Linked DNA regions of Cricetulus griseus. The protein of the gene in region 1 interacts with the protein of each later gene in a biochemical or structural test. Links are inferred from orthologs where the notes say so. Each region holds a gene or a part of one and is shown in the gene's direction. Other genes may lie near its edges. The genes, in order: Siah1, Hipk2 and Pou2af1.

Region 1 (6,983 bases):
TTGACCAGGCAGAGTATAGCAGTTAACCCACAAGTGTCCCTGGCAGCATCAAAATAAAGCTTTAAGCCATACATATAGTCCATAGGAAGACTGGGAACTTTTCTTTTATAGGGCACCATTATATCAATTTTTTGCATGACTCGGTTAATCCAGATAGCTAAAGCTTAAGAAAAGCTTAATAAAGTGAGCAGAGACAATGAAGCTAGATGGCTATTACTCTGACCCTGAGTAGACCTTAGGAATTTATAGACCTTATCAAATATACCTTATTTGTCAAACACATGTTGTTATCTTAGTTTTCTAGAAGCCTGGAGTTGAACAGTTAGCAAAGAGACATAAGTAGTTAGCTGTAAATCTCTAAGTCAGCTTTGTTCATCCAAGTAGACCTGTAATAACCTTAAAATTTTATCATCATAATCCATACCAATCCAAAATATTTTGGAGACCCCTGTTGTTGTTTCATTAGTCTAAAAGGGGAAACAGAGGGCTCAGTAGGACTAAAAAGAAGTATAGGTGTTGCCTTAATTGGCTTATTTTATATGGTCATCATAAGATGGTGGTTAAGTCCCTTGGCATATACCTTTTAACCCTAGTAAAGATGGCTGCCAGCCATGGAGCTGTTATTTAAAGGTTTATTTTTTTTGTAGATCACTTTTTATTTTTTATTCAAGAGTTGAATCCAACTGGGCCGTGATGGTGCACACCTTTACTCCCAGTACTCAGGAAGCAGAAGTCAAGGCTACACAGAGAACCCTGTCTTGAAAAAACAAACAAAAAAGAGTTGAATCTAAGTACATATGCAGTATGTTCTAAACAAGAGTTGAATCACATGTATAGTAACTTGTAGCAAATTATTAAGATTGCCTATGTGTAGATTTTAATTATAAGCCTTTTGTTATAAGTTTAAAGCCAAGTTTTGTTACAGATTTATAGATCATTTTTAACCATACCCAATGAACTTACAAATCCTGAGAGAATTTACAGCATAGTCTTAAGAGACTTTGATAGCAGAGCAAGGAGAAATTGTAGAGCTAAAGATTTTTAAGAGTAGGAAGTAGAAGTGTAGAGCAGAGCTAGTTTAGATAAGAGAGATTTGGGGATCATTTGTTTATGCTGTGACAGTTGTTACGATTTGTGAGGATTTGGAAATCAAGTGTGCCAATGTTTGGCCATTGGTACTGAGGCCAAGTTGTTTATAGTCCGGATGTTGAGAAATGAAACTCCACCCTCAGAGGACTTTTCTATAAACTCCCAAAAGTTGCTGAGTGAGAGTGTATAGAGGCCCAGGTGGGCTCAGGCTTAGAGAAGCTTCCGAGTTGCTGGGAGAGGCCTGGGAGGGCTTAAGGAAGAGACAGAGCAGGAAGCTGCAGAGGGTCAAGGAGACTTTAGGAGGGAGCTGAAAGAAAAAACTAGGTACTACAGCAGGACCTGAGAGAGTGGTGGCCTGCAGGATGGACTACAGGGCCTAGGGGGAGGGGAGAGAATGCAACTGAACTGAGGTGGATAAAGAGCCTTTGTGACAAGAATTTCCATCCAGGGTGTCCTCAAGGGGAATGGGAAACTTGTCAGGGAGAAAAGTGTTCCAAATCCCAGAGGAAAGGTGTCCTTCCCATGTGACTGGGGCCTAAATAGGGCGAGAGGAGCTTCCTGTCACCCTGGTGTGGCTTTTGTAGTAATAGTAGACAAAGGAGGCAGCTTGAGGTGACACTTACCCAGTAAAGAGAGATGGGCGAGCAGGGGAAAAGGGAGACGGTAAGTGTCCTTGGTAGAGATCCAGACAGATGTAGCCGGTGGAGCTGCGATGTGAGGCCAGTGTCCAGGTGGCTGGGTTCCTTGGGAGATGGAGAAGGCCCTAGGAGTCAGAGATACATTCATGGCATAGACAAGGACAGGCGTGGTTAGAGCATGTGGGCGTTGGGGGAGAAGTAGTGAGACAGCGGACTCTAGAATTTGGGGTCAAATTTGATAGATGACAGGAGTTATTGGAAACAAGTGATCTCTACAAACCTTAGGAGAGGCAAATCAGCAGCTTGATTCAGAGCAGCCCAGGTACTTGGAAGGGAGCTCATCTATGCCATTCCCGGCTGTGGGTACCGGATGAATGAAAAAAAAATGAAATTAAAAAGGAAGGATATGACTGCTCCTAGGTATGGTGGAGGGGAGGTTTATTATAGATAAAAGGGAGAGCATAGCCAGAGGCAGGGATATCTAGGAGAGTCCAGAGTGAACATGACCCTGAGCCAGGTCATGTTAGGAGAGAGGAAAGGGGGGGAGGAGAGCCAGGAGAGTACAGGATAGACAGTGAGGGTGTGCATGTAACCAAAAAGGCTGGATTATATAGGGAAGGGCAGCTCAGCCCCTGGGCTGGAGAAATGTAGGGTAGGAGGTGGGGTGTGCCAGCCATACCCTGTAACAGGTAGGGACTGAGGGATGCAGGGAAAACCTGGCAGCCAAGTCCAATTTGTATGTTAAATAAGCACCTCAGTTAACTACGTGTCTTCGGGGTTTAGACCTCACATCACTCATCTATAACCCTTAGCATTGTAACTTTATAATAAACATGTAATTTCTAAGAATTTTAGGGAAATTAAGGGGTGAGCAGTCTTGGTATTCTACCTTTTTATTTTCTTTAAATAAAGAGTGCAAGACTTAGAGAGATGGCTCAACAGATAAGAGCACTTGCTACTCTTTTGGATGTTTTTCAGTACCTAAATAATGGCTCATAACTGTCCAAACTCCAGTTCCAGGATATCCTATGCCCTCTACTGGCCTCTGCTGGCATCATGCATGCAGGTGGTGTATATATACACATGCAGGCAAAACACCCATGCACATTAACAAATGTATATGAGCTGGGGACATAGCTCAGTTGGTGGAGTGCTTGCTTAGTTTTTCCAAAGGTGTGGCACCACACAAAACTAGGTGTGGTGGTGAGCAGTCCCAGTACTCACTGGAAGTTGGTGAAAGCTGGATTATCAGAAGTTCAAAGTCATTTTCAGACTCTTAGAAATCAGTGGTAGTCTAGGATGATTGAGTGAGTCCTGCCTCCACAAACAAAAATTCTCCCAAAAGAACAACAACAAAATGTGGCTAAATGCCCTAAAAATGTTGTGACAAAATTAAAGGCATTAATACTATTTATTTCCTTTTAGATAATAGCTATTTAAACTTAATGCCAAAATAGGCTTGATGTGCAATTTAGAATGTGTAGTTTATATTTCTGTTCTTAAAGCTGTTTGTTGTAGTCTAGTATTAAACAGTTAGGTGGAAGTGATTGAATACAATAAAGGTGGGCAAGTGGTTGGAGTTGAAGTTGCAGAAGGTGTGTGAAACCCATTGTATTGGGGCACTCACTGCCAGTTTCTGGTTGTATTTGAAGATTGTCCTAAGTGTGATGTAATACCAGCTTAAGCTTTGAAGATTCAGCTGACACCATCCAGGTCTGAAGTGTATAGGACTTTATGGGCCAAGGGTAGTGCTTGTTTAAAAACAAGGCAAGCTACTCTAGTTTAATGAGGCCAGTTAAGAAAACTTTCCCAGAGTGGGATGAATATATAACCTCAATTTGGAGGTAGAAGTGGAGGTTTACATGCCCTGAGTGTGTTTACATTCTCACTGCACTGGAAGGGGGCATTTGAAATAGATTGGCACACAAGCGGCAGAGTTAGAATTGAGGAAAATAGTAGTTGAGGCCTGGAAATATTGAGTGAGTTGTGGGGGGGAATGTTTTTCTTGAGAATTCACAGGACAAAGCTGACATTAGGAGTGCTTGCCTGGTTGCGCATTTCCCTTCCTCCCTGTGTGTTTCTTACCCTAGAGACTTAGGAAAGCACTGAGATCCTGACCTCCGGAAACATGTTCTACGGGACTTAAGTGCTGCCAAGTGCACAGGCTTCATGTTGCCGTGGCGTCTGCCAGAGCTGTCCAGGTGGTCTGTGGGGCGGGGCTTGGAGCGAGGTCCGCCCCTTCTCGAGGCCCTGCCCCAGGGCCTGCCAGGTGGTGGAGCCTAAGCAGCAGGACGCCAGAGCTGCTGGCCATCTTCTGCTGACCACCCAGTTTAGAGTTCATGGGAGGTGTTGTCTCTCCTGGGGACAGGTCTTAAGACTGAATGGAAGTGAGCAGCCTTCTATGCTTAGGAGCCAAGGGCCTTGCAGGGTCCTCTGGTGCAGGCTGGCCTTGTGGCTTGCAGGAACCTGACGCCTCGATTCTTATGACCTGGAAGCCGCCCGAACCCCTTCTGCATTCCTGGAAGGGAGTCCTGCTCGCATGCTTGCCGACAGTTAGGACCAGGACCAGGAAGAGGAAAGGTACTGACGTAAACACATCTGTTTCCGAGACAGAAACTGGACTGCACGAATCCATAGATTCTGGTTTAGGCTTGGTGAAAGTCGGCATTGAGGGCTCAGTGGAGCTGTGGCAACTCCTGCTTAAATCTAGCTTTTCAGGTGTGTCCAGACTTCTGTGGACTTGTCCTTGGTTTCTACCTTGCAGCTGCTTGTGGATGAGAGGCTTTGTGGCTCAAGATGGAGCCACACTCCATCCTTCTAACTAGGGAATGGTGTAGCAGTTATCTGTGCTGTCATACTTCCAACCACATTTTGTTTATCATGCTGGGTAGAATATCAGTGTGCTTTCTCTAGTGTTTGGAAGGCAATAAAAATACGATGTAACATGAACCCAAACTTACACTGATAAGTGTTAGAGGTGTTTTGCCAGGTCAAAGCACTGGGCTAGTGTTTTTCTTCTGAACTTGGCTATATTGTGTTTAAATATAAACTGAGCTCTTTGATGTGACCGGAACTGTTTGTTTCGAGAAATCACTTTCCAAAATCTGTGTTCTTTTAAGTGAGCCACAGTTAACATGGTGAAGCAGATGGGAAACCCATGGCTTTGGTAATGCCAAGGCCATTGACCTAAAGTGGATAAATCAGCTGCATAAAGAATTTGATCAGGTGGAAAGTAGAATACAGAGGGGCCATTTTATTATGACACCTGGATCACAGGGCTTCAGATGATGAGAGCTAATTCATGTTGTATTCCTCCATGAGTCTGAGCTGTTGTGGTGGAGTTTTGTCATACTGTATGTGTTGGAGATGAAACCAAGGGATATAGGCAAGCTAAACATTTGTTAGTACTGTTTTGCCCTTTGAACTTGCTAGTATTGCTTTAGTAACAAAAGAAAAAAAATTAAACCTCCAGTGCTGCTCTTAGCCCCCTTATTTACAATGTTACTGTCTACTAAAATTCCATTTGTATTGACTTGGTTACATTTGTAACTTCAGTTTTTTTGAAACTTAAAGGTCTTTGCAACAGAGTGATTATAACTGGGAGAATTACTATATTATTTAGTGTGGTCTCAGGGAGTGCACTATTAGGACATTGATCTTTTGTCAACGTCTGAGATAAATTGCACCCTGCCAAATTCCCCAGAGGCAGAGTCCTGGGGAAAGGAGCTTATTGTGCTTGACTGTCACTGGCTGGTCCTTCCTCCAGATGACTCTGAAATCAGTGTGTATAGTTGGTGTTTGCTGCAGCCACACAGGGAACCCAAGGGTGCAGGGGAGTTCTTTGCTTATTGAGTCTGCCCCTCTCCCCATCCTGTGTTTGTGTCTGTGTGATGCTTTTACCCTTACTTCCTCCTATTGTTTCCTGACTTTCCCTTCCCTTTGCATGTTACATGAGATTTGTGCTGCAGAATGGAAGTAGAATAAGGACTTTCTTCTTTTTTTATAAGTAAAGTTTTTTTAGAATACAACCGTGTCCATTTTAAAAAGGTAGAATAAGGACTTCCTTAAATACAATAACTTACTGAACGATGGTTTTCCACTTCTTCCTGTTGCTTCAGCCTGGAGGTGGGTACTGATTGACAGGAGACAAAATGATGTCTCGCTGATTTGAAAGAAGACCCAGTAGGTAGGTAGCTGCAGGTGGATAGTGGGATGCCAACTCTTCCTTTCCCTGGGCCCTCCGAGCCCCATTCCCAGAACACAGCTCTCCAGAAGATGCTGCTCCCTGCTGGAAAGAATCAGTCTGGCTCTGATATCCTTTGGCATATGGACTACATAGGACTCGGGCTGTAGGTCCTGAAGCTGTGAGAGTTAACTCAGACTTGAGAAGTAGACAGAGGTGGGAACTCTGGGGAGAAAAAGTCCAGCCCAAATAGGTCTTATGTTGTATTTAAGGTCTTCTTTAAAAAAAAATATTTTCATTTTATGTGTATGGGTGTTTTGCCTGCATGTGTCTGTGCACCACATGTATGTAGTTCCCTGGAGGCCTCTCTTGAACCTGCATTTGGGTACTAGGATTTGAACCCTGGTCCTCTCAGCAGTGTTCTTAACTGCTGGACCATCTCTCCAGCCTTACATTTTTTTTTTTTTTTTTTTTTTTTATAGGACTTCTCTGTGTAGCCCTGGTTGTCTGGGAACTTGCTTTATAGACCAGACTGACCTCAAACTCAGAAATCTAACTCCTTCTGCCTCCTGAGTGTTGGGCTTAAAGGCATGGCTATATTTACATTCTTTTTGTTTGTTTTTTGAGACAGGGTTTCTCTGTAGCTTTGGAGGCTGTCCTGGAACTTGAGCTGTAGACCAGGCTGGCCTTGAACTCACAGAGATCCACCTGCCTGTGCCTCCTAAGTGCTGGGATTAAAGGCGTGCGCCAACACTGCCTGGTTGCACTTCTTATTTATGTAGCCCACCTGGAGGTTTTCATAACTTTTTTTAAACAGGAAGGTATTTTAAGCATGCTATACAACATTTTGAAATATGGTTTACTCATTATGTAAATAAAATTCACCTTTAGCATGTTAATTTTTATTTTATTTGTATATAGTTTTAAAACCATATTTATTTAACTTTATTCTTCTGCTCATGACAAGTATTTATGACATGTGTACATTATCTATAAATGTGTTATAGTTATAACTTTCTCCTGCCTCCTTTTATTTTCTTGTTTTTCATTACAGAAATGAGCCGTCAGACTGC
Region 2 (6,400 bases), on another chromosome or scaffold:
AACCCAAACTCTGGGGAGGTGGAGACAGGAAGATCTCTGAGGCTTGCTGGCCAGCCAGTCTAGTTGAATTGGTGAGGCACAGATTCACTGAGACTTGTCTCCCAAAATATGGTGCCTGAGGAAGACACCTGTTATCAACTTCTGGTGTCTGTACACACATGCGTGCACATTCAGACATGAGTGTTCATATAAACACACACATACTTGCACAAAATGGTTATCAGAGGCAGCTTAGAAAGTGATTGTTCTTGTACCTTTAAGGGTTTTACCTTTCCTATCACTGTAGTGTTTTTTCATATATATATATAAATTTTTAAATATATATATATTTAAAAAATTTTCCAATATCACCATAATTATAAATTGTATAGCTACTCCAGAAAGACCTTAAATAGTTCCAAGATTATCTAGGTTATAGATATGTCAGTCTGAAATCATAGTTCTTTCTTTCTCTCAACTTCCACTGTATATGTGTGTGTGTGTGTGTGTGTGCGCGCGTGCGTGCGTGCGTGTGTACAGGTACAAGTTGACATCTGTGCCTCCTTTAATATATAAACTTTACATATATATATGCATATATATATATATATATATATATATTGAGATGAGGTCTCTGAGTGAATCTGGAACTCACCAATTAGGCTAGACTGGCTGGCCAATAAACCCCAAAGAATCCAAATCCATGCCCAACTTCTCTCTCTCTCTCTCTCTCTCTCTCTCTCTCTCTCTGTGTGTGTCTGTCTGTCTGTCTGTCTGTCTGTCAATGCTAGAAATCATGTTCAGTCCTTTATGCTGTATTGTGAACACTTTATCTAGAGTGAGCTATCTCCCCAGGTCTAAAATATCAGGACTTTCTAGAAAAATTTATTAATGTATATGAATGGTGCTACTTGGCCCTGTCTGAAAAGTGATGCATGTTTTTAAGCCAGCTAAACACCAAATTATCTATCTGCAGCCCTATAGAATTCAAGAAGACCAGGAGGCCAGGTGGTAGGGAGTATGTCTCATTCAGAACACAGAATATCATGAGAATCCCTGTGATGAGATTTGTGTGGGAACATGGTTCTTAAGAGTAGTAAACCTGGTTATTAGGTTCTATTGAGAAGGCTAAGCTCACTACACAGAGGAGCTAAGTTTGTAATACTTACAAATGTAATACTTACCTGGGTACTTGATAGAGTCTCCAGATTTAGCAAGATACAACCTGAATAGGAATGAAGAATTGGTTTCTGTTACAGGTATAGTTCCAAGAAATAAATGATAGACTAAGTCCCAGTTCTGACTCTCAACTCTATTCCTGAGTTTCCTACCCTCCTAAGGCTGGTAGGTCTAATGGCAGAACATGGGAACCATTAGTCTCTCAAACAAGGAGTCCAGAATGTGCTTCTGAGTGGAATTGACTTGCTTTCTCAAGATGCTGTATTTTTAAGTCATTATGCATGCATGTGTGTGCATGTGTGTGCACATGAAGACCAAGAAACGTGTGGAGACCACAGGACAACACTAGGTGTTAGGCCTTACTTTTGGCCTTGTTTGAGAGATGGTCTCCTGTTCATTGTTGCATATGCCAGATTAGCTAGCCTGTGAGCTTCTGGAAACTTTCCTGTCTATGTCACCTATCTTGGTGTGGGAGTTTTGGGGTCACAGGTACATGTGACTGTGCCCAGCTTTCATGAGTTCTGGGGATCTGAATTCCAGTGCTTATACTTCAGAGCAGTACTTTACCCACTAGTCCATCTCCCTGGTCCTCAAGCTTTTGAAGGGGAAGGACAATCTGGCCAGAGCCTAAATGAATCAGTGGAGTTTATTCATGGAGGGGTAACTCAGATATTTATTTTTCCCTTTCCTTTCCGCATAGGCATGGCCTCACATGTGCAAGTTTTCTCCCCTCACACCCTTCAATCAAGTGCCTTCTGTAGTGTGAAGAAACTTAAAGTAGAGCCAAGTTCCAACTGGGACATGACTGGGTACGGCTCCCACAGCAAAGTGTACAGCCAGAGCAAGAACATAGCACCTTCTCAGCCAGCCTCCACAACCGTCAGCACCTCCTTGCCAGTCCCAAACCCAAGCCTACCTTACGAGCAGACCATCATCTTCCCAGGAAGTACTGGACACATAGTTGTAACATCAGCAAGTAGCGCTTCTGTCGCCGGGCAAGTCCTTGGCGGACCACACAACCTAATGCGTCGAAGCACTGTGAGCCTCCTTGACACCTACCAAAAATGTGGACTCAAGCGAAAGAGTGAGGAGATTGAGAACACTAGCAGTGTGCAGATCATTGAAGAGCATCCACCCATGATTCAGAATAATGCCAGCGGGGCCACTGTAGCCACTGCCACCACATCCACCGCCACCTCCAAAAACAGCGGCTCCAACAGCGAAGGTGACTATCAGCTGGTGCAGCATGAAGTACTGTGCTCCATGACCAACACCTATGAGGTTTTAGAGTTTTTGGGCAGAGGGACATTTGGGCAAGTGGTCAAGTGCTGGAAACGGGGCACCAATGAAATTGTAGCCATTAAGATCCTAAAGAACCACCCTTCCTATGCCCGGCAAGGTCAGATTGAAGTGAGCATCCTAGCCCGGCTGAGCACAGAGAGTGCTGACGACTACAACTTTGTTCGGGCCTATGAATGCTTCCAACACAAGAATCACACATGCTTAGTCTTTGAGATGTTGGAGCAGAACCTCTATGACTTTCTGAAACAGAACAAGTTTAGCCCCTTGCCCCTCAAATACATTCGCCCAGTCCTCCAGCAGGTAGCTACAGCCCTGATGAAACTAAAAAGCCTGGGTCTTATCCATGCTGACCTCAAACCAGAAAACATCATGCTGGTAGATCCATCCAGACAGCCATACCGAGTGAAGGTCATTGACTTTGGTTCAGCCAGTCACGTGTCCAAAGCCGTCTGCTCTACCTACTTGCAATCTAGATACTACAGGTAAGACTTTTTCCATGGAGATGGTCATAGGGTGCAGGAGGTCCAGTGGCATCCCCAGGGATGTAGAGAGTCACTTTGGGGAAGATACCAACATAGCTAGTGGTTGCCGCCAGAAAGAGATCTTAATACGGAGGCTGGAGAGATGGCGTAGTGGCTAAGAGCACTTGCTGCTCATACACAGGACTTTAGTTTGGTTCCCAGCACCCACGTGGCAGCTCACAACTATCAGTAAATCTAGTTCCAGGGGATCCATCACCCTCTTACGGACTTCAGACATTTATATGATATACATACATGCATTCAGGCTATTATGCACAAAAATAAATGTGAGAGACCTTAATGTAGTTGAAAAATTAGAATACATGCAGATGGGAATGACAATGAGAAGCCAGCTAAGGAGCCATCCAAGTAACATTCTTGGTCTGGTATTGGAGTTGAAAAGGATTGTGGGAGCCAGATGGAGAGCATAGTGGAGAAGTCAGGTTCTTTGGGATGGAGAGAATCCAGATAGCTAGAACAGGAAGGATGTGCCAATAATAGACACAGGGTAGCAAAATATAAGACTAGTTTAGGAGATGAGGATGAACTGCCTGGCCAGATCAGAGGATTTGTGAGTAATGCATGGAACAAGTTCTGGAAACTTCGAATGAGCAAGGCTTTGTGGGGGAGGGGAGTGGTATTGGGGGAGGGTGCAATAGGTTGATAGCAGTGTTCTAAGAAGACTATTATGCTCCTGTGGCAAAGGCTGGAGGAAGGGAAGAGCTTTGTCCTGGGGCCAGTTGCTGCCTCCTGTGTTACGTTTATGTCAGGAAACATCTACGCGGAAACATTATAAGGAAATACCTAAGACTGTATAATTTTGTAAAGGAAAAAGGTTTATTTAGCTCAAGTTCTGAAAGTTCAAGGTCATGATGCCATCAACAGCCTTATAGTCGATGGCCTCACAGTGGTGGGAGCGTGCATGGGAGTAAGAGACTCAGGTGAGCTTCAAGCTTTTAAGACAACTTTTACTGAAGAGAACTAACTCAGGGGTTTATAACCTTAATTCCTGCCAAGGACGCACTGATCAGGAGCTTCCACTGGACTGGACCACCTCCCACCATCACTATACTGAGGACCATTCTTTGAACTGATGACCCTTGGTGGGGGGGGCGGGGACGACAAACTACACTCTAGCAAGAAAACTTGCACATTCAGACAGCACACAAGTGTTTGTCTCATTTCTGATGTGGGCCTTGCACAATGCTAGCTGGCTCCAAGGTTGTAAATTGGGCTCTGGACCCCCAGGAGTCCCCAGAAGGCTTTGGCATCACTGGAACCCAGAACTGGGTTGATCCCTACACTCGTTAGCTGTGTGATTTGTGCTCACTGCCTAACTTCTATATATTCTCATTTCCTGACCTATGACTGGAAGCGGGGGCAAGGGGGAACTTTATACCAGTTCTAGGGTGCTGTTGAACCATCACATGTTGTGATATAGCCTGGTGCTGTGTGCTATGTGGGAGACACAGGGCCAGAAGTGGTAGAAATGGAGAGGGGGTTTCAGGGTTGTGGAATGGCAAAGGGCCGTGCTGGAAGTAGTAGTGACCAGTCCCACGGCAGAAAGTGGAAAGAAAAGAAACTCAAAATTCCCATGAAAAAGTAGGAGAATCCCAGGACTTCCTGTCCCACACCCTGATGGAGGATATGCTTTCCCACGCCTTCTTCAAGGACCTAGTGGGAAGACTGGGCAGACTTGAGCTGTGCTAACACCGCTGGCCTACGACCTCTTCTGAGAGCTGACTGCCAGCCTGTCTGCTTGGTCTCCCCTGCCTTGACTTGCTCCTCTTCCTGAGCCCAGTCACTGCTTGCAGCACTGTTGCGTGTCTCCTCCTGTTCTGTCTGTGCTCTCCCACCCTCGGCCCTCAGTCATTCCTTCCTTTCTGCCTTGTTGTGTTTTAATCTGACTCAGAGCGCGGGTCTCGAGTCTTCTCCATTCCTCTTAAGAGGGATTCCTGAGTTCAGATTCCTAGCTCTGGAATCTGAGATGGGACAGTGATGGCTTTCTCTCTGAATTCAGACATACATACTGCCCTCTGCTCTTAAGAGGAGTTCTCACAGGCTTCTACATACTTGTGAGGATAAATCTACCCCTGCTCGATTTCTTTCCCCCATTCAGCCTGGGGGAGCCATGGGCCCACTGCTGGGGCCACCCAGGAAGGTGGAGGCTGGACAGTGGGAAACTACCTTCCTTGGTAAAGAAGGAGGCCAAAAGCCAGTGCTCTCTTGAGAGTGCCTGGCCCTTCCTGGAAAGCCAACTCAGGATGGTTCCATACAGGGAACCTCTTGCCCCAGGGGTGGCTATTGCTGGAGTGCTCTCTAGTTACTGTAAAATGGAGGCTGCTGCCGCCGCTTTGTATTTAAACTTAATGAATTCAGGGTGCCAAAGGCTATTTTTTTCCCAGTTCTTGGCCTGAAGATAGGGAACACTGTGCCAAGTCAAGGGCTGTGTGAAGTTTTATTACTTAGTTAACCTGTATTGCTTTTAGTGAACAGAATCCAGCTTCACTGAAGTTTGCTAAAAATTAAGCATGGAGACTAACTATATTTAATAAGCAATGCATCCTTGTAGCAAAATGTGACTCAAGTTACATTTGGGATTCTGAAACCTTTTCTGTATTGTTGCCCTCTTGTGCCAGCCACTGTCACTCAGCCCACTATCTGCCTCTCAGAAAGGACGTTCTGAGCTAGGATGGCTGTAACATTTCCATGGGAACTGGGGCAGGACTAAATCCTCTACTTGAACTTCATATCCCTCCTCACCAACTTTGAGGCCTAATCAGCCATTTGAGCACCTCATGGGGTGATAAAGCCTGCTTGCTTATTGTCAGGCACTTAGGAGCTCTCGACTGTCATTCCTCAACAGGCACAGTCACCTCTGCTTCCTGCATCCTTACTTCTTTCTGAGATACCTTCTTCCTGGGTGTCTTTCCTTAGGCTTTAAGTGACTAGTATCTAGTACGAGGCAGAATGGTTTCCCTCTCCCCCAGGGTCTCCATGGTCTTGTGTCCTCAAAGGCCAGCTAGCTAGGCAACCTTCAATTAGGGTCAGGGGCACACGGTTCTGGAATGATGCTTGATTTCCAAACTAGTCATGATACTCTACCCACCACAGGCCTCATCTGGGTCCTGGCATGGCCAGTGTACTGCCTCCCAGGTCAGCGGAAGCTTACGAGAAGAGCATCCAGCTTTGACCCTGTTCATCATAGCTGTAGAGGACTGGCAGTATAGACCATACTGACTACTTTTATCTTTTACCTGGGGAGAGGAGACAAGAGAAAGTCTTTGGTTGTTTATCATTAAGACCCTTGTCCTTTTAAAAGAGCATACTTTCAGGGACATTTTGAGAGAACGGGGGCAGGGGGAATGCTTTCTGGATGCCTGGACAGAGAGGTCATTGCAAGCTACAGATCTGTCATT
Region 3 (7,160 bases), on another chromosome or scaffold:
GCCCTTTGAGACAGACAATATTATTCTCATTATATTGGTGGAGAAACTGAGGGTTACACAATTAAGTTACTTGCTGAGGTTCACACAGATAATAAACTATGTAGCAAGCTTTCCACACTAGGTCTGCCAGGTCCTAATCAGTACTACACTGGATCTCAGTGCAAAGGAACTTTGTATGGCTCTGGACTTTTCTTCCCCCTTTCAATTGAAATAGGTTCATCCTGCATGGGGGTGGGCTATGATTTCATCAAGGGTAACTCTACTCTGACTCAAAAGTCACTGAAAATTTGAGGCCCAGAAAGTGATACTTAAGGGCTAGGGAGATAGTTCAGTTGGTAAAGTTCTTGCCATGCTAGTATGAGGACTGAATTTGGGGAGAAGTGGCATGGTGGTATGTGCGTATCTCCCAGTGCCAAGAAGGTTGAGACCAGATGGAATTCCTTGGCTGGTCAGCCTAACTTTGTCAATAAGTTCTAGACCAGTGAGAGCCCTACTTCAAAAAGAAAATGAAATAACTATGGTATATGATATAGAGATTGACCTCTGACCTCCATGTGTACCTACATATACATATCCATCCCCTGCATCCTTCCTTCACAGGCATGCACACACAAGAAAAAATTAAAAGAAATTAACACTCGAGACTGAATCTAGATGACTTTCATCTTATAATGAGTCAGTGGGACTGTTCTTCTGATAGGTTAATCAGCCAAGGACAAACAGCAGCTGGTGAAAGATCCTGAGTGTCCACCCAGGGTCTGTAACTTTGAGTGTCTTGGTTGAGACTTATACTCATGGTATGGTCCAAACCAGTGACCCCGGGTCAGTCTCTACACCGAAGAGAGAACTGCCTGTCATGCCTCTTGCCTCTTCCCTCTTTATATAGCCTCTAGAGACAGCTTGCTGCCCATTCAAGCGTTACTGAATCAGGTGGAAGCAGAAGTTAGAACTCTGCAGTTCTAAAGCAGATATAGCTTCATCACATTTTTGTAATTCTAGATTTGCTTGTGTGATTAGTTCAGTAAAGTCTACATATCCCACCTGAATAGATTGCAAGTTCCCCAAGGGCAGGGACCTAGTCTGATCTGCTCAACAAGTATTTGCTAGATAACTGGTCTACCAGATGTCTCTTGGTCTTGGCCCTGAATCAGACATGGTGTATCTGAGATAGGAACCCTTTCTGCTCTGGTGACCTTAGTTTCTATAAAAGGCAGACAGATGCAGCTGGTTTCTCAGGTGGACCTATTTGCTGTCATTTCAGTAGAAAAATACCCAAAATAAAACCTTGCCAGGAATTGAGTCTCTCGGTTCTTGTCATTCCTCTTGTGAGTAGACTTTTGGCAAGTTTCTTGTGGAGGCCTCTATCACCTGGAAACCACCATTGTTTTCAGAGAATTGGCCATCAAGAGAGACAGGATCGCATGGTCCAAGCCAATATTCCAACTGGAGGAAGGAAGGTTAGGATTGGCTCAGGGACCTTTAGATGACCAACCTTCAACACCACATAGAAGAAAAAATGGGGCATATAGAGGCAAGAAGAAGGTGCATGGTGAGGCAAAAACAAGGTCTATGTTGGAATCAGAAATCTTGAATTTGGTTGATGACACCGGTACTGATGAATGCTGTCCTTGAACAATTCAATGCGTTCAAATGAGCAGCACCCTCTACATCAGTAAAAGAAGGGAAGGAGAGTAAATTTCATCTTTTGCTTATTTCAGAGGTTGGGATGCAGCCTCCCATGATATCATTTGTGTCAGAGGCTCTGAGAACTACACCACAGAACATCACAAAACTGTAGGTGAGGATTTCCCAATTTCTGGGAGTTAAGATTATGACCAGAAAACACATTGACTATTGCCACCATTCATTCATCATTAAATGGGTATACATACAGAGAGATATCTGCTGCAGCTTTCTGCATCCTGCTACTCCACAGTGGATTTGGAAACAGGGTAGACAGGTGGCGTGGAAGGCACAGTGGGCACCAGGGGAAAGGAATCCTGGCTGGTGGTATTTGTGAGTAAAGAGTCAAGGAACCTCATCACATAGAGAACTCCACACCAGAGACCTGTGGCTGGCTTTGCCTGAGGTCATGGGGTGGGACACCTATAATTCAATTTGGTGTAAATTGGACAGGAAAATCTTTCTGTAGTCTGTCAAGTCCTTCTGGCCAAAGAACAACTTTCTTCCTGTTTGGAAAAAAGTATCAGCTAGTCTCCATAAATGAAAATGGTAAATTTGAAAACCTTGAGAACTTGACTCTAAGAAGAGCACCTGCAGCAGCATTTCCGTAAAGAATGTGAATAAGCCTGTGGCCTACCTGAGCTCAAGTTTCCCAGAAGACCTCAGCTATCTCAGGCCACCAAGACAAACAAGACTCTTCACATTAAAGTGTCAGCAAGTTTTCAGATTTTGTTTTCAGTAGAAGCTGGGACAAGTTCGTTAGCCCTAGGCTTGAAGTCCTATTGTTCAATTATTTGTTTTGGTTTTGCTACAAGTAAAGAGAGTGTTAGTTGTCTTTCTCCTTAATGAGCTCTATTTTCTTTTGGATAAAATTGAACACCAGCAGTGAAAGAAAACATTCAAAGTGGTTATGGGGTGGGGATTGATACCAGAACTGTCTTAAGTGATAGTATGGGTCATGTGACCTTCTCATCTAGGTGGCTTTCATCTTTCAAAGTGACCCCTGAGGTTCAACTAGTTATGAATTCAACCTTGAGCAGTCTGTCAATCTGGGACAGAAAGGCTCCTAGAGCTGTGAGGATGCCTGTTCTGTGGCTCCCTACGATGTAAATCCCAGTTTAACCTGCATATTACACCGTTTTTAGGGTAGAGCTCTTAACTGTTATCCAGTCTGTTGCTTGTCTGGGGACCCATGGGAAATCTCAATGTGTGAGGCAAGGCTCTTCTCTCAGAAAACACCTGATGGACATGGGCTCTTTTAAAGCTATTCTGAAAGACAAGTTACTGATGACTAGGACCTGGCTCCTGGCTCTTTAGTTGAGTGGGATGTGTATTGTGGTTTGCATGGGGTTATTAAATAAATAGGTGCTGATGGGTTTGCATATTTCCTTAGTGAGATTTTATTATGCCTTCATTGAGAAAACCCGAGTGCTTATTTAACTCAGAAGGAACCTGTGTTCTCTCAGCCTGGTGGAGCCTGAGTACTGATGCCACTGTGCATACAGGTAGCTATATAACCTGTTGGTTTCAAACTGTTGTGCTGTGGTGGAATGGCAGCCCCAGGATTCCTGCAGCAGGTCTGGGTGTGTGACAGGGGAAGTGAAATGCCCTCTGCCGACTGTTTATGCCTCTAGATCTTTTACTGCTCTTTTTGGAAAAAGGAAGCTCTCTCTTATGTCTGTGACCAAATGGGTGTGTTTTGCTATCAACTAGCCTTTTAAAACTTTTTTTTTCTTCCTGGAATACATTGGCAGTTTATGGGCAATAGTAAAGAAAGGCAGTATGGTGAACTCCTGTCCAAAGAGATTGCCAGAGGTTATGTTCAGATGGACTGGTTTTCCATTGTGATGGACTCTTCAGGCCTACAGACGCTCAAGGGCTCTTCACATCGCAGGAGGAAGGGTGAGGAACCATCTAGCTTTACTAGAAGGCTGCCCAGAGCTGCAGTTTGATTCGAGAATTATTAAACTCTCTATTTATCACTAGTCTGGATGCTCTTCTTCTCTGATGATACAGTATTATTTCCATTTCTACTTTATTCTCTTCACATACTATTTTAAAAACTGCTATTTTACATTATGTTAATATTTTGTTTAAAAAGTCCTGAACTATTTCAGTGCAGTTATTGCAAAGTTATGTCAGTTCAAGGACTCAGCAGCCCCAAGTTAAAGCAATGGTGACTTTGGACAAACTTCTTTTCTTCTTCCAAATTTCCATAGTGGGCTCCATTCTGGTGCTGGCAGCAGCTGAGGTCACAGTGTTTACTGGGGAATTATGCTGATTGTTACTTAATGTAGATTAGTGTGAAAGACCCCAACTGCAAGTTGTCAGTTTGCAAATATTCTTGTCTATTGAGCCTCCTGGGCAGACATCTTGATGCTTTGGCTTCTCATATTTCAAGGCGCTTTGCAGAGACACCTCAGAAGCAACCCCACTTCTGCCTGCTCAGGGAGCCAGTTACAGGATTCCTTGTCAGCTGTCTAAGGACACAGAGCTGTGGGAGTGTCCCAGCTGTACTAGACCAGTTCAAGAGAGGAAATAGCACCAGAGAGGGAATGGGACCTGGAGGCCTCTAGGCCCTTCCCCAGAATTGTACATGCAAATCAGAGGTCCATGGGTAACATTCCTGTCTGTGATCTGGACTGAGACGTATGCATAGTGTTCCCCAACTGAATTCAGGGTGTGACCATAGTACTTAGACCATCTCCTTCCTTTGGTCCAAAACCTCATTATTTTTTTCTGAGAGTACAGTATCTCAAGTTAGGCTCTGTGCCTGAGGAATGGAAGGAAACCTAAGAAGAGGTAGGCAGAGATTGAGTGACATGTCTGTGAAGAAAACTGTTGTGGTCATGAATGATCCTGAGAAGGGAGCAGCAGCAGCATGAAGCAGCGGCAGAGATGCCTTACTGTCGCTCATGGCAGTCCATACACACTTGTGTCTGTGTGTAGCACTCAACAGTATTCTGTGGACAGGGTGCACAAGCATTGCTGGTGCAGGAGTGCTGCACTCTGAAGGAAGATTTGAGGTTAAAAACATGTCACTGAGAAGTTAAAAACATGTCTCCATTTTACAGATAAGGAAATTGAGGCCTAGAGTCATTACATAAATCTGCGGATTTTCTACTAGTAAGTGACAGCCCATATTTGAACGCAGGTAGTTTTGGCTGTTAAGTCTGTTGTCATTGCTGTTTTGAACAATGATGAAGGTGGTTTCAGGGCACAAAATACTATGCTGGTTCTTACGCTCTTACGTCAGCCCAAACCTCTCATTTGTTACATTCATCTCACTGGTAGGTATTGTATTGCTTCTTTCCTCTGCTATACTTTACAACCCACATGTGCAGGGCCCACATCCACGTGTGTCCAGAAACTTTTTGGAAGAATGAGGATGGGAGTAGGGATTCCCTTTTATCACAGAGGACACTAACACGAGGATCATCTCTTACTGGGATGTTATGGAGCAGCTCTTGTGTTAACTAAGGGATGAAGTATCAGAGTCAGGTTTGAAGATGACCTCAGGCATTTTTATATAATTTATATATCTACATAATTTTTATATATCCAGACTCTTTGACTTAAGTGGATTGTCCAAACCATATTTCTGGGGAGCAAGATCCCAGGTATCTGTATTTTACATCAGTTTCCAGTAGATTTTGCACTGTGGTCAGTTAGGACACCATAGCATATATAGGTCTGATACCTAGTCTGAGAGCTGGGGTCCTGACACTAACGGTCTGCCTCCAAAGGTCATTCCCCTTTGCTTGCTGGCTCTGCATGGCTTCTTTGCCTCCTGTCCTTCAAGACCAGATCATGTTGGTGCTGGGAGCCTAAGAATCCCATGGGAGATCTTGGGCAGCATGAGGCACACATTGTTATCACTATCAGCTGGGTGTTTACTGAACAAAGTTCAGTTCAGGCTGCCCTGTGGATCCGGGTTGAACAGATACCCAGGCTTCCGGGCCTTTGATACAAAGCCTGGGTCCCTGGCCCCTTATCAGTGGAGGATAATGGGTTCCTTATGTGAGTCCCAGAGACCATTGCTTCTTGATCTTGGGTGACCTAGCTCTTGGCCTGCCCTCCATGGGCCTTTCCATCTGTATAGGTAGTTTGTTTCTGATCTCCCAGCAAGAGAAAATGCTATACCTTGGCTCTGGTTTTGTTGATACTTTAGATTCTTGGATTTTTTGACAAAAGGGAACAGAAACATTTTCCCAGTAGCAAGGTGGACACTCCACTCCAGGTCACATGAATCATCACTGGGTATTTGTCTCTTGTACTGAGGATCACCATGCACCTGGCAGACACTTTTTTTTTTCAGTCCATTAACCCTAAAGGTCCAGGAGAGTTGAAAGGATGATAAAAGGAAGTACATTTGAAAGCACCTCCCAGATGATTAGTTAACGTTCAGCCAAGACTAAGATATAGATAACTTAGGCATGTCTGCCACTTGAGAAGGCAGAGACAAGGCACAATAGATCAAGAAGCTTATAATCTCATTGGAAGCATTTTAAGCTCACATGAACAAGAAAAACTAATCATTACCTAGCAGGCCATAGATTGATTGAATTTGAGAGGTACAGGGTGTAGCTCAGTGGTAGAACACTTGCCTAACATGTCTAAGGCTCTGGGTTATATCCGCAGCACCAACAAAATAAAGAGACAAGGAAACAAATGAAACCCTGTTAGCTAAATGGTTGCTCTGAACCCGATTTTCTATGATACATACACGTTTTCATTTACTCTGACCAACACTCATCTGATAAGAATCTACAGATTAAGAGGCTCAGAGAAATGTAATTACTTTATAGGATCTCATAGCTAGATTGTGACTGAGATGGGATTTGGATCCAGCTATACCTGACTTAAGGCTTCTTGGTGTGATTGTCATCCTTCACTACCACTTATATGAATGCCAATCAACTCTAGACATGTTGGAGAGGTGGATGTAGGAACTCCATGGTCTGCAGGAGCCAGAGAGGTAGCCCCAGAATAAGAATTCTGGCTATCAGATATAGCAATGAAGATAGGGAGGTGAAACACACAAGAACATGCTGACGAGTGTAACCAGGCCTTCTTTGGGAGCTACTTTATGTATCATGCAAAGAGGACAGAAAAATGGTGTTCTGATCCCATTGGGAAGCCCTGTCACTTTTAGACAAATAGTAGAGCCCCAGAAAGTTTGGGGGCAGATGGAGTCTTGGGAGAAATACCCCAGGGAGCCTCACAGAGATTCTCTGTGTTAAGTACAACTTAGAGAGTTGGGCACCAGAGAAAATGGGCACTTGTGGTTGGGGTCATCTGTGAAAGGTCAGGGGACCAGTGACATTCCTCTTTACAGCCACAGCCCCAGAGCAAGCCCCTGCACCACCACGGCCATACCAGGGTGTTCGAGTCAAGGAGCCAGTGAAGGAGCTACTGAGAAGAAAGCGTGGCCATGCCAACAGTGGGACAGCTGGCCCACCTACTGCGGTGAGGGG

Evidence for each region.
Region 2: of the proteins of Siah1 (region 1) and Hipk2, one has a biochemical effect on the other in vitro, tested with the Homo sapiens proteins (4 studies listed by BioGRID, with this or other methods). The link is inferred for Cricetulus griseus from reciprocal best matches to the Homo sapiens genes SIAH1 and HIPK2.
Region 3: the proteins of Siah1 (region 1) and Pou2af1 form a complex in vitro, tested with the Homo sapiens proteins (2 studies listed by BioGRID). The link is inferred for Cricetulus griseus from reciprocal best matches to the Homo sapiens genes SIAH1 and POU2AF1.

What each region holds. Positions count from the first base shown.
Region 1 is NC_048596.1:162,342,709-162,349,691, reverse strand, and holds the start of Siah1 (E3 ubiquitin-protein ligase SIAH1), read left to right. Parts: upstream 1-2,900; 5' UTR 2,901-4,108; coding exon 4,109-4,307; intron 4,308-6,964; coding exon 6,965-6,983. UniProt on the Homo sapiens protein: E3 ubiquitin-protein ligase that mediates ubiquitination and subsequent proteasomal degradation of target proteins.
Region 2 is NW_023276806.1:189,351,281-189,357,680, forward strand, and holds part of Hipk2 (homeodomain-interacting protein kinase 2), read left to right. Parts: intron 1-1,858; coding exon 1,859-2,942; intron 2,943-6,400.
Region 3 is NC_048597.1:162,974,804-162,981,963, forward strand, and holds the start of Pou2af1 (POU domain class 2-associating factor 1), read left to right. Parts: upstream 1-3,440; coding exon 3,441-3,585; intron 3,586-7,021; coding exon 7,022-7,152; intron 7,153-7,160. UniProt on the Homo sapiens protein: Transcriptional coactivator that specifically associates with either POU2F1/OCT1 or POU2F2/OCT2. It boosts the POU2F1/OCT1 mediated promoter activity and to a lesser extent, that of POU2F2/OCT2. It recognizes the POU domains of POU2F1/OCT1 and POU2F2/OCT2.